Linked DNA regions of Schizosaccharomyces pombe. The gene in region 4 interacts genetically with the main gene of each other region. Each region holds a gene or a part of one and is shown on either strand. Other genes may lie near its edges.

The links.
Region 1: of kpa1 (region 4) and rev3, changing one enhances a phenotype caused by changing the other (phenotypic enhancement), as found in Schizosaccharomyces pombe (one study listed by BioGRID).
Region 2: of kpa1 (region 4) and eso1, changing one enhances a phenotype caused by changing the other (phenotypic enhancement), as found in Schizosaccharomyces pombe (one study listed by BioGRID).
Region 3: of kpa1 (region 4) and cdc20, changing one suppresses a phenotype caused by changing the other (phenotypic suppression), as found in Schizosaccharomyces pombe (one study listed by BioGRID).

What each region holds. Positions count from the first base shown.
Region 1 is NC_003424.3:3,127,788-3,135,031, forward strand, and holds rev3 (DNA polymerase zeta catalytic subunit Rev3), read left to right. Parts: upstream 1-2,001; 5' UTR 2,002-2,090; coding exon 2,091-6,533; 3' UTR 6,534-6,705; downstream 6,706-7,244. Other genes in the region: rim2 (mitochondrial pyrimidine nucleotide transporter), read left to right, coding at 1-26, 75-993. UniProt on the Schizosaccharomyces pombe protein: Nonessential DNA polymerase. Required for DNA damage induced mutagenesis. Involved in DNA repair, mitochondrial DNA repair and translesion synthesis. Has a role in the bypass of abasic (AP) sites.
Region 2 is NC_003423.3:4,276,336-4,281,665, forward strand, and holds eso1 (mitotic cohesin N-acetyltransferase/DNA polymerase eta Eso1 fusion protein), read right to left. Parts: upstream 3,319-5,330; 5' UTR 3,257-3,318; coding exon 638-3,256; 3' UTR 554-637; downstream 1-553. Other genes in the region: SPOM_SPBC16A3.12C (triglyceride lipase-cholesterol esterase), read left to right, coding at 15-364, 416-553; ale1 (MBOAT family O-acyltransferase), read right to left, coding at 3,661-5,190. UniProt on the Schizosaccharomyces pombe protein: Probable acetyltransferase required for the establishment of sister chromatid cohesion and couple the processes of cohesion and DNA replication to ensure that only sister chromatids become paired together.
Region 3 is NC_003423.3:3,251,855-3,259,751, reverse strand, and holds the start of cdc20 (DNA polymerase epsilon catalytic subunit Pol2), read right to left. Parts: upstream 6,031-7,897; 5' UTR 5,864-6,030; coding exon 1-5,863. Other genes in the region: respiratory chain complex IV assembly protein Cox20, read left to right, coding at 6,568-6,618, 6,685-6,799, 6,953-7,149. UniProt on the Schizosaccharomyces pombe protein: DNA polymerase II participates in chromosomal DNA replication.
Region 4 is NC_003421.2:291,762-295,779, forward strand, and holds kpa1 (DinB-like DNA repair polymerase kappa), read left to right. Parts: upstream 1-1,614; 5' UTR 1,615-1,682; coding exon 1,683-2,175; intron 2,176-2,214; coding exon 2,215-2,654; intron 2,655-2,700; coding exon 2,701-3,213; exon of another isoform or gene 3,214-3,259; coding exon 3,260-3,457; 3' UTR 3,458-3,486; downstream 3,487-4,018. Other genes in the region: GTPase Ria1, read left to right, coding at 1-454, 500-1,253; oligosaccharyltransferase delta subunit Swp1, read right to left, coding at 3,721-4,018. UniProt on the Schizosaccharomyces pombe protein: DNA polymerase specifically involved in DNA repair. Plays an important role in translesion synthesis, where the normal high-fidelity DNA polymerases cannot proceed and DNA synthesis stalls. Has a role in meiosis.

The DNA.
Region 1 (7,244 bases), on a different chromosome or scaffold from region 4:
CCTTTGTCGCATTTTATAGCGGGTGGGTAAGTGATTTGTAAATTTACGGGAAATGTCTTTCTAATATTCTTTAGAGTTGCAGGAATGTTAGGAGCGATTGCAACAGCACCTTTGGACGTAGTGAAGACGAGGTTGCAGTCTGACTTTTACAAAGACAGATTTTTGAAGCAAACGGCGAAATCGAAAAGTCCATTGACGGCTGCATATAGGCATTTTATGGATACATGTATAATATTAAAAAATGTAAAAGTTCATGAAGGAACAAGAGCACTATTTCGTGGCTTAGGTCCTAATTTAATAGGAACAATTCCTGCACGGTCAATTAACTTTTTTTCATATGGCAATGGCAAGCGTATATTGGCTGATCTCTTTAATAATGGTCAAGAGAACTCTCAAATACATCTAATGGCTGCTGCAATTGCAGGTGTAATTACTTCTGCTGCGACTAATCCAATATGGTTAGTAAAAACACGATTACAATTAGATAAAAAAAGTGGACAAGCTGCTCAGTATCGTTCTTCGATTGATTGCATCATAAAAACAATAAGGCTTGAAGGATTCCGAGGATTATATAAAGGTTTATCTGCCAGTTTACTAGGAGTCGGTGAAAGTACTCTCCAGTGGGTTCTATACGAAAAATTCAAGCACGCTGTCGCTATTCGACAACTTCGTCGAAAAGAACTTGGTATTCAAGAAACTATTTATGACAAAGTTTTAGATTGGGGTGGGAAGCTTGGAGGAGCTGGAATTGCTAAATTTATGGCAGCCGGCATTGCATATCCACATGAAGTTGTTCGAACACGTTTACGACAAAGTCCATCTATAAATGGTACTCCTAAATACACTGGACTCATACAATGCTTTAAATTAGTTTGGATGGAACAAGGGATTGTTGGACTGTACGGAGGTTTGACTGCACATTTACTACGAGTAGTTCCTAATGCTTGCATTCTTTTTGGAAGTTACGAAGTAATAATGCACTTCATTGGCTAGGTTTTCCAATGGCATGTTGACTATAAAACGGATCTACTAAAATTACCAGCTTGGAGAAGTGAGGAACCTATAGCAAAAGAGGATAATCATCACCTTTCCATTATTTTTTATATAATAATGCACATGAACAATTTTCCATTCGTACGGTTATGCTTAAAAGACTTATATGAATGTTAAATGCAAAAACTTTGGACTCCTATTTTTTTAACCAAAATTGCGTTTCAATTAATGATTTTCAGAAATTGTATTTATGATCTTTTGTCAATTTTTCTTTAACATGCTAAAACTTAAATTAAGTAATGAAGTTGACTATTTTTACTTCTTTATTAGTTAAAGGTAAGTATTTGTCTCAAATGGTTTTGAAAAATTTTGAATGAGTGGTTAAATCTCTCTTTGTTATCTTTACTCTGCATTTTGATACAAATTACGGCCCATAACAAAGCTTATTGAAGGTGTACGTTAAAAAACTTGTTGTGAATGATGGTTCTAAACGAGCGGACTAAATAGCTTTACCCCTTTCTTTTTTCATAACAATTCAAATCTAAATGGTCGGTGCGTTGATTTGCCATTAAAACAATAATATTATTGACATTTTAATATTATTTTGGATTCAAAAAAAATTTGTATTAACTAAGTTTCAAGTTATTCATTTACAGCAAATGTAGCCATATATCAACATTTTGTACAAATTTGATATGAATCATTCAAAAAGTTCGTTTGAGGTTCAATAATATGATTTTAAGATCTAAACTATTGTCGTTTCCTAACAAAATCATTATAAATTCTGCATATATCCCTTTTGCTATAGTTGAGGAACTCCTGTAGATTAACTATTCGTTAGAATAATGAGTGCAGTAATTCATCTATTTTAAACGGAATTAAGTAAGTATTTATATATAAAAATTAGTCTTATTATTCTTGGTCAATTTAACTCTTATATTTCACATATTGATTCTTACAGTAGTGGCACTGTTTAGGGTGTAGAGGTTGATCTAATCAACACTGAACAACATTTGCCATACTATGTGAAAACCGACATTTTCTCTCAGCCGTGATAAAAACTATCATATGAAATTTTACTATAAAAAAAGCATTGAATGCGATTTTCAATCGAGTATATAGATTGGGAATTAAGTCCTTGTGATCCAGCTTATGATTTCGTAGGGAAAGATTTGCCGACTGCAAATGAAGAGTTAACCACTGTTCCAGTTATTCGAGTTTTTGGATTGAATGAAGAAGCAGAAACTGTTTGCTGCTTTATCCACAACGTTTTCCCATATATTTATGTCGAATACTCTAGTTTTGCAGAAACGTTAGATCTTGAAGTTCCAGATTTTTTAAGCCAATTACAAACATCAATTAATTATGCTTTAGCATTAGCGGCAAGAGCAAATCCAGAAACTTACAAACCTGCTGTACAAAGCGTTCAGCTTGTGAAGGGAATTCCGTTTTATGGGTACTCCTTCTGTTTTCAGAAATTCTTAAAGATCTGTCTTTTTAGTCCGAAAAACAGAGATAGACTAGTCGATTTATTCAGGCAAGGTGCTATATTAAACAAAGTTATTCAAGTTTACGAATCCCATCTTCCTTACTTACTACAATTTATGGTCGATCATAATCTATATGGTTGTGCTCCAATAGATTTAGATGACTCCATTATAAAGAGAGACGATCTCTTGAGTTTTTGTAACGTCGAGGTTCACGTGTCTCCAAATGCTATTCTCAATGCCTGCTGGTTGAGTGAACGTAATATCCATACTGATTTATATGAAACTCATGCTTCAAGTCCAAATTCACTATTGGTAACTAGTTTAGCTGAAATTTGGAAATCGGAAGCTTCTCGGAGGAATTTAACCAGTAGCGATGAGACTAATAGTTTTTCTAAATTGCACCAAAGTCAGTTCGGTCTCAAAGAAGAGAGTAGCCATGAACCGCGAAGTTCCCAGCACTGGAAAAATGAAGTTGCCATGAAAGATCTGTTAAAAAACTTGATCAAAAGTAAATTAGAATCTTCTTCCGATGTCAATACTCCACTCATCTTTGATCCGTGGCCTGAGCTGCCTACCATTTATTCTGCAATCCACACCAAAGATTACGTACGCCCATCCCAAAATGATATTTCAGTTTCTCAAATATCTGTAGATGAGAAAATCTGTACTTCTTATGAAAGCCTGCCAAAGATTCAACTTGAACAAAACACTGCACCCGTCATAGAATCTTCTTTTGAACAACTGGACTCTGAGCTCGAGCGTATATTGGGAGATACACTTTTTGATTCATTTCCTTATGTAGAACCCAATGTTGATAGATCTAAATTTCCCAAAAGTCCTCTTAATTCTTCTCAAGAAGTTACCATTCACTCTTCACAAGATAGACAATCACCTCCCTCTTCGCCCTTAAAAGATGTACCTTCTCAAATAAATCCATTTTCCCCCAGCCTTAGATTAAAAGGGGGTTCACCCATAACTAAAAGGGAAATTGAATTTTGTCGAGATCTGCCGAATCGTCCCACCAGCTCTGAACCGAATCAAGGGGATACTAGAAAAGCAGGAAAGAGACTAAAATATTCTAGAAATCTTGATGATTATCATATTTGTACTCAAATTCCTGAAGACTACTCCCCAAAATTCTTATCTCAACATGAATCTTTTGTTTACAAACAACAACCTCCTTCGACGGATGATCTTTATGGGACTATGAAAAAATTGAAAATCCCATTTTCAATACCGACAAATGTTCACTATAGTTCGGAGAAGGACATTCCCTCTTACTCCCAAGAATATTTAGGAAAATCTCATTATCCGATCGGTGTTTCTTCTAGATATTTGCCAGAATTTCAATCAGATGGATCGGTAAGCGAAAAAGTTCGACTAAATCCACTTAAGCTTAGTAATTTTCACGGAGAACGGACGTGGCAATATATAAAACCTGCACCACTTGCTGTAGATTTATCAAATCTTGAATCGAAAGAAGCCGTTTCAGAGGAAATACAAAGCCCACAAAGGTTATCCAGAAGTAAGGTTTTTAGAAAAGATCCTTATTCATGTGTGCGCATCTTAGCGCTTGAATTGTTTTGCTGTAGCCATGGGGGATTGACCCCAGATCCCACTAAAGACTCTATAGAGTGTTGTTTCTGGGCATATCAAGAAGATGTAAACAGCAGTATGATTGACAGAGTTGGTTTTATTGTGGTCGACAAATCTGCGTCGAACTCTTCTTTTGGGCGAAGTTTTCCAAGCTGCACCGTTTTAGTTGTAAATTCCGAACTTGAACTTATTAATGAAGTTATAGGATTAAATCGCCAGCTTGATCCGACCATCGTATGTGGTTACGAAGTTCATAATAGCTCATGGGGTTATTTAATAGAACGAGCATCTTATCGATTTAATTATGACTTGCCTGAACAATTGTCCCGACTTAAGTGCACTTCGAAAGCAAATTTTGCAAAGAAAGAGAATGCATGGAAATATACAACTACTTCATCCATCAATATTGTGGGCCGGCATGTTTTGAATATATGGAGAATTCTCCGTGGTGAAGTTAATTTACTTAACTATTCCCTCGAAAATGTTGTTCTTAACATTTTTAAAAAGCAGACCCCTTATTATAATCAAGCTGATAAAGTGCATCTTTGGCAGAGCTCTCGTTTTCATGAGAAGCAAATCCTTTTAAATTATATGTTAAACAGGACTAGATATTGTTTGGAAATATTATCAGCCTGTGCCATTGTCACTAAAATTCGTGAACAAGCAAGAATTATCGGAATTGACTTCATGTCAGTAATTTCTAGGGGGTCCCAGTTTAAAGTTGAATCTATTATGTTTCGAATTGCAAAGCCTGAAAATTACATATTTCCATCACCTAGCGCTAAGCAAGTTGCTGAGCAAAATGCTTTAGAAGCGTTACCTCTTGTTATGGAGCCGAAGTCTGATTTATACAATAATCCGGTAGTTGTACTAGATTTTCAGTCACTATACCCCTCTATTATAATTGCATATAATCTTTGTTATTCCACATGTCTTGGACCTGTGAAAATAGTCAATGGAAAAGTTAAGCTTGGATTTATGTTTCATTCAAGCAATCCAAACATTGTGAATTTAATAAAAAATGATGTATATATCTCCCCTAATGGTTATGCATACGTTAAAGAGAATGTTAGAAAGTCTTTGCTCGCTAAAATGCTAGAGGAACTTATTGAAACCAGAAATATGGTGAAAAGAGGCATGAAAGATTGTGACTCGGACTATGTCAACAAAGTATTGAATAGTCGGCAACTGGCCCTAAAATTGATTGCAAACGTAACTTACGGATATACTTCAGCGTCATTTTCAGGAAGAATGCCGTGTTCAGAAATCGCAGATACTATTGTGGAAACAGGACGTGAGATACTTAGCTATTCACTAGAATACATAAATACTTTAGATTTTTGTCATGCAAAGGTCGTTTATGGTGATACCGATAGCTTATTTGTTGAATTACCTGGAGCGACTAAAGAGCAAGCTTTCGACATCGGACAGCAGCTAGCAAACAACATTACTTCCAGATTTCCTTCTCCAATTCGACTTAAATTTGAAAAAATTTACTTTCCTTGTTTCTTGTTAGCGAAAAAAAGATATGTAGGGTTCAAATTTGAATCAGTTAGTCAAAAAGCTCCAATTTTTGAAGCGAAAGGCATTGAGACAGTTCGAAGGGATGGTACTCCTGTTCAACAGCAGCTCCTTCGTCGTTGCCTTGAAATACTTTTTAAGACAAAGGATTTGTCAACGGTCAAAAAAGAATTTCAGAACGTATGTTATCAAATTATGAGTGGAAACGTTCCTGTTATGGATTTTTGTTTTTCAAAAGAAGTTCGTCTAGAAAAATATAAAGAATTAAGTACTGCTCCTCCTGGAGCAGTTATGGCTAGACGGTTGATGACCAAAGATCCTAGGAGGGAACCTCAATATGGAGAACGTGTTCCATATTTGATTATCGCTGCTGCTCCTGGTACCACCTTGGCGAACCGCTCAGTTGCACCCGAAGAATTTCTGTCTTCGAGTTTTTCTCAACTTGATATAAATTATTATATCAACAATAGTTTGATACCTCCATTAGATCGATTTCTAAACTTGTTAGGGGCTAGTGCCCAGTCATGGTATCATGAAATGCCCAAACCACGTACCAGTTTAAAATTGACTGAAACAGTGAAAGGAGGTATTCAAAAAAAGACTTTGGACACTTTTCTGATGGAGAAGCTTTGCTCTTCTTGCTTGAAGAATAATATTGAAATTATTCCTGATAAAATTAACTCCCTCTGCAGTGATTGCTTAAAAAATCCTTGTGCTACTATTTCTAAAGCTGTTACGCAGCACAATGCTTATAACAAAAAACTTTCCTTGCTATTTGATATTTGTCGAGGCTGCAGTAAGCTTTCATCTAGTGATCCAGTTCTTTGCAAGTCAAATAGCTGTAAGGTGTACTATGATAGGGCGAAAACTGAGAATTATGCGAAAGTACAGGCAGAAATGTTAACGAAGACTCTTGGTTCTTTAGACTGGTAAATCATTATAACTTCAAATATTGGTGTGAAGGACTTGAAATTAAAATACATCAGGCATTTGTTCTCTTATCACCTGCTAGTTTATTCATCTACGTATTATTTATTACAATTATTTATTTTTTTTAGAAGGTTATATCGATAACTAAAAATATTAATATCATCATGTTATTGGATTTTTTTTTTTTAGTTAAAATTTAGTAAACCTCTTCGTATTCTAGGGTGCGTAGCAATTCTTTATTTACTTTTTACTGTCCGCAATACTACGCTGTGATACTTTACGTCGCGTGTCACTATATGTCAAGTGCACTGTTTTGATTTATCAACTTGACATGATAAGTTATCAAGGTACGGTTACTAATTATGATAAAGTAACTATCACTTACTACATTCAAATTCTTAACACTATATATTGAGATAAACTGAAGTGAGGACGGGAATCGGTTTTTAGCTACGTTAGTGATAAGTAACAGATAATGTGTATTAGAATACTTACATCAATTGCTACTTATATTACCTCGTATTGCAATATAACAATCACAAGGAAGATTCAATACTGTTTTTAAGTATCGTTAAAATAGATACCGAAATACGTAGCTGATATTTGCGAGACAAATTACTTCGTAATTATCAAAATTCGTACGGGACACGGATGTCGTAGTTTTGAAACAGAACCAATTTCTATAGTAAGAACGGACAGAAGACAATCTTGTAC
Region 2 (5,330 bases), on a different chromosome or scaffold from region 4:
TGCTTACTCTACAGATCCCCCAATTTTTGTAAAAATTGTCGATGTATCCCTTAAAATTTTATTCAACTGGGACCTATCCAACATTTCTCTTAATCAAAAACTTTGCGGTTATGCACATCTTTACTCTTTTTCAAGTGTAAAGAGTGTTGTTCACTGGCTTCAGATTATAAAAAACTGTACTTTCCAGCTTTATGACGACGATATGGCTCTTCTAGCTGGATATGGTTCACGCCATTACCAAGTTCCTCTGTTTCCTACGAATAATATCAAATGCCCAATGCTGATACTATGGGGAGGTAAAGATACTTTGATCAATATGGAAGTAATGAGAACTGCTCTTCCTCCCCATGCAAAGGAAGTTTCGGTAAGCCTTTTATTTTATAGGTTTGTTGCTCAATATGCTAATATAAGTTAGATTGCTCATTATGAACATCTTGACTTTCTATGGGGCCAGGATGTTAAAGAGGAAGTGTTCCCAGTTGTAATAGATGCCCTTAAGCATCATTCATTAGGCAAAGCCAAACATTTCGTTAAACAAAACGGTTTTCATTAATGATTAATTAATAATTTAAAAAAAAAACTTCTATATAACGCTTAGATAGATATTTAGAACAACTTTAATTTTGTCAGACTATTTTCAACTTTCATAAACAGCATATCGAAGTGACTTCGAAGAACCATTGTTTCGAGAACGATGCCACGAAATAATGAACTGTTTACCACTTTCACTAGGCTGACTAAAAGCAACTTCTGCAGGCGATATAACGTAACCGTAAATGAATTTTTTTAAAGCATTGTCTAATAGTAAACTTGCTATCCCTTGTTTGCGTCTTGAAGCTGATACCCAAATCCTGGAAATACCCAATACAAACCCCTTTCGTAGATTTTCGTTTTTTATATATACTGCGGAAGAGGTGCTATTGTTGTTGTTGAGTTCAAGTTCATCGACTATGTATGCAGAAGATATACGCTCTGCCAGAAGTAATCCGACACATTTCTTATCTGATATGAATAGAAATGTGGTATATTTATCTACCCCAATTGTTTCAATAGGCTCACTTGAAAGTTCGTTATTTACGAAAGATAAAGCTTCCTCTGCTTTTCTTTGATCAATTAATGAGCTTTCTGAATTTATGCTGTATATGCAATCGGAACTCAAACCATAGTTAACGCGATAAATAGGAGAGCATTGAAAGGACACAGTAACACCTCCTAGAACCCGAGAATGAAACCTAGAATGAAGCAAAATATCTTCTTCGCTCGTTGAATTGTACTCCATAGAACATTCTGAACAAGTTACGGTGGAATTAGCCAAATCTAAGTGTAACTGGGTCATGTTGTCTGAGCTGTTGGAAATTGCTTTTGGCGTTTGCTTTTTCCAATTTGGTGTCAGATTTCCACCGTTTCCTAAAAATGCGTCCAAAAATGCTCTTTTGTTGTTTGTTTCATCGGATAAAGGTGCATAATGCTTGCTACCGGTTTTCCTTCCATATGTTTTAGGCTTTACTTGCTTAGGTTTATCATGGGATGGCGGTACTAAGTTATTATAGCGTTCTTTTCTCGAAATGGAGAGAGCTATATGATAATCTTCATGTTCATTTCTTTCGGATAAAGTAATTTTCTGTTCGCATTCTTCACACGTGTAAGTTTCATCAGCTGAATTCTCCGTTGGTTTAGAAACAGCGGTCTGTTGTAGCATATCAAAAATCCCTTTACCTTTACCTCTTTTCAACCTTTTAGGTGACTTTATATCTTTTTCCGAAGATAATTCAAAAGAATTATTTTCCCTCATATTTTCGTTCAATAATTTAGCGCGTCCCTCAATAGAAGGTGAAACAGAAGTAGACATGTAGATTTCATCATTGGACTTTTTTAAAAAACCCTCAATTCCCCTAGAATTACGATCAACCTCTATGATGTTTTGAAAGCTAATAGATAAGTTTGAAATCGGATATACATCGAATTCCTGTTGCAGTTGACGCAACAGTTTGGATGTTGCTTCAACAATAAACTGAGTGCTAATATCAACATTCATAGGTATTTGACTTGACCTTGACTTTCTCAGAAATCTTGATACAACAGTCAAACAAATGGTCTTGGGCCTTCTCATTCCTTCAAGTTCAAGGAATCGTGATCGAAGATCAGATGCGAATACTTGAAACCAGTTAATTGCATCTTCTTCAGACTTCACTTTTTGCTGAGAAAAATTTTTAGCCGACAACATTGATTTAATCTGAACTTGTGTAGTAATCTCAGTGTTATCAATTCCATGGCACAAATTCCAAACGAGTGGACCGTTAGTTTGACCAAGCTTATCTATCAAAAAGTCCATACTCATATTCCAAACATCCTTAATAGAATCTGTTCCTAATAAATTAATTATTTCTTCTCCAAATTTTCCGCCCAGCATTCTTATATCAGTAATCTTTAATGACACTAAATAATCTTGAATTGCATTTTTCGTTAAAATAGTTTGCTTGTTTGGTTTATTACGCGAGCTGACAAGCTTTGAAAGCATTGGGTTAAAAGAAACTCCTGCTGAGCACGTGTATTTGAGTTGCAAGTATATATCATCGCGAATTTCTTTCACGATTTTTGCAGCGTAAAATAAAAAAACATCATCCCAATCCCTTTCATAATCTTCTTTCGTTCTATCTACAACTTCTTCTTCAATGACCATTCCAAACTCAGCAGGCCATAGTAGCACTGGAGCCTGCGGCAAAGCAACATTTGAGTCCTCAGAGGGAATTTTCAAGTAAGGATATTCCTCCAACACAATCCGTTTAACATCACTCGTAAGTTCAATAAAACATTCGTCAATACTAGCCTTCTTAACCACAGGCGCATGTTTCTTTATGATGTTAAGAATCTTAACGCTTTCGTGCCGATAAGGATCTAAACAGGTTTTATAGTAGTTAGGATTTGGGTTTTCATGGTACTTAGCCTCTGACTCCCCAGCTTTCCAAGTTTTTACATGAGCGGTACAAAGCTCTGGACATTTCTTTTTTGCTTCAGTAACTGTTTCATGGCGTGAAATATTCGCTGCACGGGCTGCGTAGTTTACAGCAATAAGCCCTTGCCATTGTTGAACAGCAAGGGGAACTGAATGGTCTAATCCTAGGCGAACACTTTCGACTTGAGCGTAAAAAGCATCCTGATCAATATGAGCTACAACCCTTAACGGTGAATTTTGTGTACCTGCTTTATCACAATATTGCAAGTCCTTCCAAGAGAATTTGCTTTTGCCTAATTCCATTCAGTTCATACCCTCAAAAAAGTTCTTTAATAAGAATCGCTCAAGTTCTATAGCGCGTTCGTGTTGAATTTAGTGGACTAAGGTACTAGATATAGCAACGTTACCTACTACCAGATACTAAAGCAAAATAAATTCAAACTCTCATAATGTTGTAACCAAAATAAATCATCAAAGGAAATTAGATGTTAAACTTAAAAACTGAATTGAGAGAAAACATTCAGGAATTTTATTTAAGAGACTACTTTAATATGTAAACATATATATAAACACAATGAATATACTGCCGCCATGAAAGGTATTGTATATGATGAACAATTAAGATGAAATTGCTGTTAACAAAGCTGCAAAATATTCAAATGCTTCAATTTATTGCATATGATGCTACCTCATAGCAAATTAATCCTTCATTCATCATTTTCAAAATCTTCTCTTTTGGGCACCGACATATTTAACATGTCCGTATCACTAGTGGATTTCATAGATTGTTCGTAACTTTTTAGTTTATAGCTGTTGACTCTGGATCGTATCTTATTATCTAATTTCGACCTTATTGGGGAATTGAACACAGCCAGAGCTATCAATATATATATATGCACAATAAAATATAGCTCTTTCCAAACGTGTATTGATTCTTTTAGATTCAAAAGAAGGAAAGAGATAATTAGATAGGAGAGAGAGAGGTTTGTTGCTACCATACCAATAACATCATAGACTCGCTTAAAAGGCCCAGGAGTTTCCATATCTGGTTTAAGGAAAAATGGGCGAACATGGCGACGCGTGTATTTTGCAACTGTTTGGATAAAGGCTGCGGAAACAAAAGTCAAATAATATCCAGCAGAAACTCCATGCCACATTGCACTAACAGTGAATGTGCTTAGCGTACTTTTGAACCCTGGACGCTTTCCCTTCTTTGCAACTCTCAAATAAACGTAATTTCGAAGCCATTTATTGGTATTCATGTTCCAAGCCTCAAGAGCACATTTGATATTATCTGCGAATTCGAACTTAATAGGGTCAATATTCTTCACTCGATCCCAACGAGGATGCTTAGAAGAATCCAGGCCATTATAACCAATGCCTGACAATATACATGCACCGTCAGAAAGTTCCCATGCGCCATAATATTTCATTCTTGCAACAAAAGCAGTTATGCAAACGTATCCATATTTTAGCAAAATAGGGGAGGAAGCAAACTTAGGTGTAAGTAGAAACTTTAAAGGATAGATTGAGCTTCCGGTAATAAATAAAATCAGCCACAACAGACCTCGCCAGCAACGACCTAAGGCTGGTTCCAAACTGTGTGGTGTTATCTGTTTTTCATAAGGATCAGCCAAAGGCTTAAACATAGAAAGGGTTATAAACCTTTCGTAATCAACATAATCAAAAGCTGGACCAACAAGTAATGAGGGAAAGAAAAATACGTATCCAAGGAAATACAAGATATTAGGAATCTTTCTCAACGCGCGGTCTTTTTGATAAGAAGATAATTCACTTGAAGGAAGACGACCGTCGTAAACAGACCAGGCAAACGCTGTAAGCTTCATACATAGTACCATTTGTGAAGCAGTAATATCAGTATTTTCTGAAGGGTAAATGTACCGAATAACATGGCTGCTAAATGTATGGCCAAGGATTACTATAAATATGATCCATGGCATTCGTGACGATCGATAAAACGCGGCCACGAAATATGTGAACAAAGCGTCAAATAGCAAAACTAAAACGCCATCGTAAAGATGATGAACACCAATGAGATAAAATAAACCTATGCTTATTGAAAATAAGTTTCTAATCCATGGAGCCGAAGGAAGTCTTTTTAGTATGCCGGCAAACGGGTATGCTGAAAGAAAACAAAACAGTAACTTGAGCTGATCCGGGTGGACTCCAAGGAAAGAAGAGAAGTATTCAAATGGTATATCAATAAGATAAGCCATTGTTAATGTAGACAATACTGTCTCCTGCTTTGGGAATGCCTTTGAATTGAACAACTGATATTAAACACTCAACAATCGATTATTCTTTAATCACGAATGTACAGTGAAGATTGTACCCAGAGTTTGGTGTTGGTGAAGTT
Region 3 (7,897 bases), on a different chromosome or scaffold from region 4:
CCTCATCAGCATTGTTGTTTTTCACGCGAACAAACCCAACTTTTGTATTAGACTTTTCTAATTTTTGCTTATAAACCTCTTCAATAAACTCAACAATCCAACTCTGAAATTCGGGCTGAATGATTGGAGGTAAATGACTTTTAATGTGCCATGAAACAACTGTCTGTGGTTCTTCATTTGTAGCTGAAAAATTTGCTGCCACCATTTTTCCTCCATAATTAACGGAATCCATCCATAAAAGATAATCCCAGTATTCCGTGACATTTAGATCCAAAAAGTGAAATAGTGGTAACGTCTTAATGGATTTGAGTAAATAATTTGAATAAGTGACAGCGTTCTGGACGATTAATTTGCTCGTTTTGATTAATATTTTATTAGCAGAAGCGTGTATGATATGTGCTCCAAGGCGTTTTATCTCAGAGAGAAGTTGTAAAAAAGTTTTTCTCATTATAACTTCCACGTGCGAGGAGAGTAAAGGACTGTACAGATAAGATTTTGATGAAGAAATCCATCGGGCTAAATGTTGAATTATAAGATCAGCGAGATTATTACCGGATGCAGCTTCGTTCCACCAAGTTTTAACCAACGCCTTCAACACCGGCAATGAATGTGTCAGTCCAATATTATCATGTATTCCCAACTTTTCCTCCAGATCATCATTTATGGCGGTCATGTAATTATCATTCAAAGCTGCCATGTCGCCAATACCTTCTATGTCATTTATGAGAGCAGAATTGAGAATGCTACAAAGTGCAAGGTTGGAAAGAGAAATGTCAACACAAGCATTTGAATAAGCACCAGGATTGTTAACTTCTAGTGGATCTTTGGGACTGGCAATCTGCAGAATACTATCCTTCTCAATACCACCTAAGTCTGGAGTTGGGCCTTTATTCCACCAAAGGATAATATTATGTTCTTTCAGCTTTCTAGAGTAAACAACATCGATACTGTACTGAATGTCATCGCTTTCAAAGTTGCATAATGGGATATCTGAGAAGCGAGAAAGTTGTATGCGATGGAAAAGCCAGCTACCAATAGCTAAGAAATGTTGGATCATTTTCGTAGCAATGTGTTGTTTCCAAGAAAGAGACTGTATGTTGCTCTCAAGCCGTGGTATCATTATATACGGAAGCTCTTCAATTTGCTTCACATTTGCCTTCAATATGTGAGGGAGTGAACTTTCAATAATAAGCAGACTATTTTTAGTTTTAGTTGAAAAATATTGAAGCAACTTTTCATCTATCAGTTTGTACGCTTTCCTTTCGTTTCCCGAGAAAATGACATTACACGAAAGAGTATCAGGGTATTCGATACTACTTTCCTTAATTAAATTATCAAATTTCGACCGTAGCTCTTCGTAAATTTTGCTGATTGATGGGAAAGACATATCACTACCTGGCAGTTTGTCATAAATTATGGCCTCAACTTTTTTTAAATGTGGCATAAAAAGTGAAAAAACAAACCTATTACTAATGGAAAAATGGAATGCATAAAGGTAGTTCATCTCTACTCCATCAAGATAGGAAACATCGTTATCACTTGGGTCAGTGAACATTTTAGATTCAAATCCAAATTCGAAGCCTTTACCTAACGCTCCAGGTACTGAATTATTAAACCTTTTTCTGGATCCCATTTCTAATATCAATCTTTCAATTGGTTCTATACGAGTCTCATATATTCCACTAACAGACGGATGGGCAAAAATCATAGAAATTGATACCTTTTCCGTTAAATAGCTCTTTTCTGGAATTTCAAGTAAAAAAAGCTTATCCGAAGTGCTTCCATGCGGTAATATCGCATTGCTTTTTTCAATTAAGCATCCCTCAATTTCAACATTCGGTAAAGTCTCATCTTTGAAACATACAAAAAACTTTCTATTCACAATGAACCGTATCGAGGTCAACCGATTACGAATAATTACCCAAGCATGTAAAATACCAGGAACATCGGTTTCTCGTATTTGTAAAATATGCCATAAATTTTCAAACATAACTTCAGCAGAAGATTGTAAAACATTGGTGAATTGCCTTGATTGAAACCCAATTAAATGTCTTCTTCGAAGCTTGACCTGCTTCTGATATTTCCACTTTTTCTTAGCATACTTAAGCCAATTCGAATATCCATCCATAAAGGATACAGGTTTTACTTCAAAAGATACAGGTGCTTCCGAGTTCCCAGATTGTTGTAAAAGTTTACGCTTGGTAACTCGAGCGACAATACGCTTATCTTTGTGAGTCACACTTCCTAAATCCTCAATATCAGTAACTTTTGTGTTGTTTATTGTGGATGGATTTGTAGGGGCTAAGGAGAAAATGGAATCGATCTTTTTCTGTTGGTATTTAGAATTCAAGACAGCAACTCGTTTTTGAAGCCAGTCCGGCAATGGAAAACGGGTAACGGGGTTTGAAATCCTTTGGAGAGCAGCAGGGATGCTAATTAGTTTTTGTACTACTGATCCTAGACGTTTCAAATAATAATCCCAATCAATAATGTCTCTAATATCAACATCATATAGACCATTATCTTTCAACCAGAGCCTAAGAAAATGTCGCTTAACAGATTCTTCAGCAAAGAAAATAGCTACCGGTACTGCCCTTTCTGCAACTGGCCTTCCTTTTGGACTTGCGGAAATAATAAAACGACATGCTAGACCTTTGTCTTTGGTCATTTGATCACCCAAAAAGTCAGCCAGTCGCCTGGCTGTAGTAATGGATGTCGATTTTTGGCTTCCGTATTCAGACAAAGCTTTAGACATACTACGATTCTCAGAAATCAGTTCAATTAATTCATCATCTGTTAGGTTAGAGCCTTTGGTGAATAGAATCTCTAACCAAGTGTCAGCAACATAGGCAACTTCTTGATAGCATTCCTCTAAAGAATCACCTTTCAAAAAAACTTTAAATATCTGAGATTGAAAATCCTTAATGAGCTTCAATTCTCCTCTTCTTTTCACCTCAAAGCCTTTAAGTTCAGCTAAACTACCATCGAAATTGAAAACGGCATAACGCTTTTTTAAGTTTTTACCTTCTTCCGTTGAAGCAGGCAAAATCATAGCTCTATAAGGACCATCAACCTCAAAAAAAATGCTGTTTTCACTAGTTGTTTCATACACCAATTTCTCTGGGTCCTTTAAGGCAGAATATTGATGATTGGTGAACTTTTCATGAACCAGGTGATTTAACATAACGCATGGATAAGAGATAAAAACCTTTCCTCCGGATTTCTTTTTAAATTCAAAGTTTTCAGGAAACGATTCTGGAAGAATACACCAAATACCATCTGTGTCAAGTTCCAATGGCCTACCTGCACGTTCAACTATTTGACGAGCCATCTGAATAATCGTAGCGCCTGTCAAACATGTGATACCAGCCATTTCAATCGAATACCAACGGGAGCCTTTTCGCATGACATATCCATAGAAAGAGTTTAAAATAACTTTGTGAGCTAACTGTAAAGAATCGTAGAGTACGACCATCTTTTTGGCCTCCTCTATTTCAGCAAGTCCTCCTTTTTCCTTTATAGCAGCAAGTTGTTTGACCCATTTTTTTTGCAATCCTTTAAAGTCATAACGGCGATCCCTAAAGCTTTTTACCGTATCAATATAAAATGAGTTTTCCTTTTGACAAATTATAGTTTCCCTTTCGATAACGGTATTATCATATAGACGGTGATACACTTTACGGCTGTAATCCGCAATGCGCTTTTGCACCATAGCAGCTTGTTCTGAGGGAGAAAGCTCTTGAAATGACCTAAAAGGTGAGAAAGGGGTAGGGCCTGGAAAACGCTCAGATTGTAAAGCAGAATATATCATATGATATTCACCTTTTTTAGCAGGGTAATACTCCCCTCTCCATGCCCATACCATCCGACGATCACATGTCTTATTGGGCACATTAAGATCGCATGTTGCACAAAACGATTCATCTTTTACTGAATCTGGCTGTAACCGGTTGGTAATCATAATATTTGGGTACATTGAGGCGACATCAAGATGGTAAATCCTTGGCTTCTCCGACCTTTTTGGTCGATCACGAAGGTCACTTAGTTTCTTTAATATGCTGTCTCTAACCTCTTCATAATTTTCGATTTCATCAACATTGACGTTGTTTTCAACTGTTAAAGAAAAATCTAAGGCTTTGTCCAACTGTAAAATTAGTTCTTCATAAACTTTTGGATCCATGTTGAAATTAGTCGGCAAGTCGCTTCTAAAAACACCACTTTCAAGACTTTCAACATGTCCTCCAACATAAGTCTCACTTGCAAGTAAATGACCGTCGAAAAATTTTTGACTAGCATCAACATGTTTATTCGGAAGAATAATATTTTTTGTACAAGCCTCAACAGTTAAAAGCGTTTCACACAACGTACCCGTGCCTTTACGTAAAACTTCATCAGGATTTAATGGGATAATGTTACAAAGAGAAAAAATGAAAGGATGCACATATTTCATGTAAAGAAAATAAGTAGCAACAGCATCTGAAACTGAATATTGAGCAAGAACTTGAGGTTTTTCACTTGCATAAGGAGTCATCAATTCTGGATCTAGTTCGATAGGATTATAACCTAATTTACTGACAGTGACAGCTTTGAGACCTTGACTTCCTTGAGGTAAATAACTATCTCTCTTTACCCACCGGAAGGCATCCATATGACTACAATAAGAAGACTTATATTCATCCTCTGCGTCCCTGAAGAAACCAGTTTCTTCTGTTAAATTCAATCCGTGAAATGCAGCACGTGCGTCTACAAATGGCCAGTCAAAGAAGTCACCATTGTATGTAACTATTACTGAAGGCTTTGCAGACCTTATATGTTTAAAGAATCGATGAAGTAGGCCAACTTCATCAGGCTCATTAAAAATAATAAATGGGCCCTCAAATTCCTCCCTCGGAGTATAATGAAAATCTTCAATATTCTGGGAAATAATTTCTCTATTGGTAATTAAAAATCCTTGGCCATCAATCATATAAGATATCATCATTATTTTATCGAACGAGCTATCAGGAAACTTCAATGGCAGCTTAGTGGTTTCAATATCAAAAGCCATTATAGTAGGTTCTGCACGCTCGATTCGGGAAGCTAAAAGGGATATTTGAACATGGCCTTCATGATATGAAACAGTATACCATTGTCCGACTCGAATATTCAAATCAATAAGTGTACGAGAATGATACGGAACATCGTACTCACGGATATCTAAAACATGATTTAAAGGATCTTCAAATGCGTTTTCTATAATCCCGTTTAAATTCTCCGAAGACAAGTTAGTGTATGCATCAACGGCATCTTGTTGGGAAGAATTAGCTTTCACAGCAGACATCAAAGACTTCCTGACAGCCTGAAGGTCATTCAGGTTATCAAAAACCAACTTTATATACAACTTTTGGTAACCCACTATGTGGTTTTTTAGCTGTAAATCTTCTTTAAAGATACGCGTAGTAGATTTAATTAAGCCCACAAATTTTTTTTTTAAATAATCGTCAACCAAAGCTTCTTTACCTTCTCGAGCAGCAATGTAGAAGTAAGGAGAGTATGGAATGGTACACCGGAAAGTGTCACCATCGTCTTGAATGAAGTAAAAGTCAACGGCACTGAGGGTAGAATTGCCTTTGGTGCTTTCGATTACTGTTGGATGAACGTTGAGAAGCCAAGCTTCTCGTGGTTGTCCACCTTCATAGCTATCAAAACCCATCATTCGATCAATCTCATTCTTTTTGTAGACAATTTTCATAGGATCATTGAAGCCAACTTCCTCGGTTGATTTTGCAAACGTCCTACCGTTCGATTTACTTTTTCCATTGTAGTTACCATTAAATTTCCTAAACTGATATTTGGATGCTCCTCGAGCTGTTTTTAAGGGCATAGCAATACAAAATAAATATTAAAAAAAGAAAGTAAAAAGAGACCGACAGTTTAGTAATTTCCGATTGTTACCAGAGAATTCTAAATTAATAAATGGAATAGTATTAAGAAGAAACTTCTTCTATTGTACAAACATTAGGTATCCTTTTAAATGTGATATAGTGGTTTGGATTAATACCGAGTTAAGAGGCAACAAATTGGTAAACAACAAGTCGCGTCGCGTCGACAACTTGCAAATTATTTTGGGTATCATGTTCCAGTTCAAAGCATTACAATTTATTTATTTTTGCCATAAAATAAAGACAAAGTACAAAAAAATACAAAATTTAGTATACATTAGCCTAATGATCGTGTGTTTCGACCGTAAGTAATTATTTCAAATCGATATTGCTTCCTTTAAGGATTGAATTTAAAGAAAAAAAAAAAAAAAAAAAAAGCAGTTTTCTTTTAGAGAAGCATGGTGACGCGGTTTCTGCTTTCAGTGATATAAATTGTCAAAGCTTGGTTATTTTGGCGAAATATACTATCATAAATGGAAAAGTTTATATTAATTCAAAGAAAAAAATATTGTCTGATTGCTGAAGTACAGGATTAAAGACCCCGCCATAGTAAAAAAACTTAGTAGTGCTTAATTCAATCAGTTTGATACCTTATATTTACCTCTATTCCACCATTAACTGAAAAAGCTTAAACGAATCAGTAACTATGAGTACACCAAATGAACCCGAAAAACCTGGGATTATTGACGCTTTCAAGGTAGAATTTATAGCTTAAAAAGGACTAGTTTGTTGTAAATGCAAGGAATGCTAATACTACTTGTAGTCATTGAAGATGAGTGATTTTGCTCACATGGTACACCATCCTTGTTTTAAGGAATCATTAATCACCAGTGTCGTCTGTGGTCTAGGTGTTGGTTGCATCCATTTGTTTCTTCGAGGTACGAAAAAAAACATTATGCTGGTTAATTGATGTCCGTCAAAAAAAATCGCATGTCTTTTAATTTTCGGACCAACTTTTTAAAACGGTGATTTCAATCCGTTGTTTAATAAGCGGTTTAAATTCTTGCCGACACATGCTAACAATATTCAAGCACCTATTTCTAGAGCTGCTAATTGGGGGTTCGGAACTTATTTTGGAATGAGCATCGTCTCTTGGGAAGGGTGTAATTACCGCAAGCAGCTTGAAACTAATAACTTCAACATTAAAATTACAGAAGCAGCAGAAAAGACCCCGAAGCATCGCTCTTCAAGGTCCGCTCAAGAAATTGATGAAGGTTTTAACGAGTAATTGCATTCATTTGATTCTTTAGGTTCTACTTATTCTTAAGCTCTTTTCATCCCTCTATTGCATGGTATGCTGAGTTTTTCATTTGATCGATTAACTCTTATTCAATTAATATTTTAAATTTGAGTTCATCGGAATGGTTTGTCATTTTTAAATGGTATTCATTGAAGAGTGTGAATTATCACCAAAGAATCCAATGTTGAATTTTTAACTGCCTCGAAGAATTCAATCTTTTTAGGGTGCCATTACAATGGGTGGAATACATACTCTTGGTATCTTGAACGTTGTATTAACAGCAAAAAAGTCTTAAAAATATACAGCATCCACATTTTCCCAATATTAACTAAACAATGGTAGACTTTTTGTTCGTTATTTACTTTATAAGTACTAGCTCATCTCAATCTTTCGTGCGTGTATGTTTACCCCTTTATCGTAAAGTCAGTCTACGACCTTGCGAGGGCATCGCATGATTTCAGCTAAAAACTTTCCAAAATAAAAGTAACAAGACCTTTATGGTGGTTTATTTCTACTAACTGGATGAATAAGCTATGTGATATTTTTGAATGTAAATATGTATTCTTTACGACAATTTTTGTACGATTGGCTAGAAAAAACATTAAAATCAAGTATTTGCAGTCCCATCGTCATTCTTGTTTATTATTTTTTAACAAAGTAGTTTAATCAGGGTAATTTCTTTATTTATAATTATCATCGATGAGATATACTGTTTTTAGGAGGAAAGTTAGTGGCA
Region 4 (4,018 bases):
AAAATGGAGAGCATGTAATTATGTGTGCCGGAGAGATTCATTTGGAAAGATGTTTAAAAGACCTTAGGGAACGGTTTGCAAAAATTGAAATACAAGCATCTCAGCCACTTGTGCCATATCGGGAAACTACCATAGCTACACCCGACTTATTAGCAAAAAATAAAGAACTGAGTATTGGCTTTGTCACTGCAACGTTACCAGTTGGCGGAGTTACGATTGGAATTACAGTAACACCTCTTTCTGGGTCTGTCGTAGATTTTCTGCTGAAGCACTCTAAAACAATTGAAAATGTTAGCAGCAATTTTTCAAAGAAAAATAGAAACGTTGTTGTCTCGGAATCTTTAACAAAAAGTATGGAGGAAGTGTTGACTCCTGAGAAGTTTTATGAAAGGCTTTCCAAGCTTTTAGAGGAAGAGAACTCTGACTTAGGCGAGCTGAAAAATCATTTGGATAGGTAGGTTATACTAGTGTTCTATTGGTTGATTACTAACAATACTAGTATCATTGCGTTTGGCCCCAAACGAGTGGGTCCTAATATACTTTTTGACAAAACCAAGAAGATGAGAGATTTTCGACGACAAAGCGATGAAACAAAATTAATACCCTCAGACCTTTCTGAATATGTAGTTACTGCATTTCAACTAATAACGCACCAGGGACCATTGTGTGCTGAACCCGTTCAAGGCATTTGTGTGTCAATCGATCAGTTTGACATATCTGATGACTCGGAAGATAGTAAGTTACTTACCATCAATAATCCCCAAATCCCCGGTCAAGTTATTTCGGTAGTGAAAGAGTCTATTAGACATGGATTTTTAGGTTGGTCACCGAGACTTATGCTAGCCATGTATTCTTGCGATGTTCAGGCCACATCTGAAGTCTTGGGTAGGGTATATGGTGTTGTTTCGAAGCGACGAGGACGAGTAATTGATGAAGAAATGAAGGAAGGGACTCCATTTTTTATTGTAAAAGCCTTGATTCCAGTTGTTGAATCCTTTGGATTCGCTGTAGAAATTTTGAAAAGGACATCTGGTGCTGCCTATCCTCAATTAATCTTCCATGGTTTTGAGATGCTAGACGAGAATCCCTTTTGGGTTCCAACTACTGAGGAGGAATTGGAAGATTTAGGCGAGTTAGCCGATCGCGAAAATATTGCTAAGCGCTATATGCTGAACGTTCGAAAAAGGAAAGGCTTATTGGTAGAGCAAAAGATTGTTGAAAAGGCAGAGAAGCAGAGGACACTGAAGCATTAAAGATAGTACTTGATTCCAATTTCTTTAGGAAAACGAAAAGATTGTAATTTGATGACAATGACCTGGTTAGATGGAGGTAATGTTTTTTTTTTTTTTTTTGTTACATTGTTGAGGTAGCTGTGATTTTGAGTTAAGTGTTTCATGAACTATGGGACTAAGATTAGAAGTCTATAAGATGAATAGTGTAAAACGCACATGCAAGATTCTTTAGGCTTCTTTTTGTTATGTTTTAAATTGTTAATACAAATTCAAATTTCCAAAAAATACCGATGTTGTGGGATATGCATAATACAAATAATGATATACTCTACTGCGTAATCGCTAGAAGGTGATAGATTACAGACGCGACGCGCCAAAACACAAACACATCTTTGTACTAATTCAAATTCTAGTATTTTGAAAACTATTCGCCTTAATGTTTTTTGACGGATGGAAAATGCAAAAGATTTTATAGGAGAAACAATAAAGGAGAATGGATTACTTACCATTGAAGATGATGGTAGCAGTAGTTCAGATGAAGAAGCTACTTTAAAACGACGATTGGCAGGCCCTTCTGTTCTCAAGTCAGGACAGGAAAATGTTAATCAAAAAAAGATTAACGAGATAATTTACGAAGCTTCCAAAGGAAGTAAGTTTTTTGAAGCCGAACAAAAACGAGACCGAGAACTTCGTTTAAGAATAGAAAAGGTTCAAGTTGAGGTAGAAAAATACCAATCAAAATTAAGGTTTGATAAAGCGTTTCAAAGAGAGTGGACCATTAGACAAGAAAGTGTGGATACTACTGTTGAGGATTTTAGGGCTAAACGAGATTTGACCCAAATAATTGTTCATGTTGATTGTGATGCGTTTTATGCATCAATAGAGGAACTTAAGAATCCAAAACTTAAGTCTTTACCAATGGCAGTCGGGAAGAGTGTTTTGTGTAAGTATTCGAATCTGACTGAAACTAATGCTGAATAAGGTACTGCTAATTATGTGGCCAGAAAGTTTGGAGTTCGATCAGCGATGCCAGAATTTATTGCTAGAAAGATTTGTCCTGATCTAGTTGTAATTCCGTTAAATCTTTCTGAATATGCAATAAAATCTAAAGAAATTCAGAATGTGCTTGCTCAGTATGATTCGAATTTGTGTCCTGCAAGCATTGATGAATTTTATATGAACTTGACTTCACATTTACGTCTCCAAGAGCTTGCATTTACTGTAGAAAACATAACGATGGTGGTTGAGAAAATCAGGAAACAAGTGCATGAAGAAACAGGAGTTACAGTCAGTTGTGGTATTGCAGCAAACAAGTTGTTAGCCAAAATTGCAAGCAATAAGAGAAAACCAAATAATCAGTTTTTTATCCCATTTGACGAGATTGGGATTTCAAAATTCATGAATGACTTGCCTGTTAGAGAGGTAAGCAGTCTTTCTATATCTGGTTAAGCATTCTTTAACATTACAGGTTTCTGGTATTGGTAGAGTTTTAGAGCAGCAATTACTTGGTTTGGAAATTAAGACGTGTGGGGATATTCAAAGAAATTTGGTGATTTTATCTTATATCTTTTTACCTAAAAGTTTCCAAAACTTGTTGAGATGTAGCTATGGATTTGGAACTACAATTTTAGACGAATACGGTGAGAGCAAACGAAAAACAATTGGGTCTGAAGCTACATTTTCCAGCAATCTTAGTTCTCCGTCAATAATCGAGTACAAGCTCAGACTTCTTGTACAAAATGTATCTGAAAATTTACAAAAGCGCGGATTAGTCACAAACTCGATCGCTATAAAGTATAAAACAAGCGAATTTCAAGTTCATACCAAGCAAAAGAGCATAGGTCAATTCATTCATTCAGAATCTGATTTATTGAAACCAGCTTTGCAATTGTTGCGTCAATCTTACCCTATGACTATTCGTTTATTAGGAGTCAGAGCAACAAAGCTGGTTAGTAAATCGCGTTGTTTGGCCATGCAACTTGTAAGTCAAGCAAATATACTGCTAGCAATATGCTAATTATTACTAGAAATTCCAAAGCCAGAATACCGTTCCTTGTCCCGTTTGCCAGAAAAATATTGAAAACGAATTAGGTATACTGAACCAACATGTCGACCTTTGCTTAAATGTCGAAACAGTTAAATCCTTGATCAATACCGATCATACTGCAAATCCTACAATCAAAAAAAGAAAATCAAACACATTAGACACATATTTCTTGGAATAAAATTTATTAATCTTGACCTTAAAGCAACATTAAATAAGTTTTGGATTGCGAATCATTGCGCAACTAGCTTATGGTAAAAGTATTTGACAGTTTGTATAGACCAAGTAAAACTTTTAGAGAAAGAATGTCAAAGACAACTATTTTTAGATAAAGTAACCATGCTATTTTACAAAATAACATTGCGGTACTGAAAAATATTACATAAATGTCAACGTCAATTGTAAAGTCATCGTCAAACTCAAAGATTGTAAGGATAGGCCGATTTAAAGACTTTTAGCAGCGATTCCGCACATGATTGCGACGCCAGCAGCGTATGCGCCAAATTGGAAGATGGACAAAGAAGTCCAGTAAATAAACAACAGGATTTCTGCAACGGCCAAGGAGGCAAAGCCAAACGTTCTAGCAAATGAAGATGATGACACAGAGTAAACATTTGATTTTGGTAACAATTTCTGCCACACACCGAGCAAACCGATTAAACTAACCACTACCGAAACAGAAAAGCAAATACTTAGAAAATAATTTGCCCTTTTAGGAGGGGGAGAAAATGTATGAAGAATT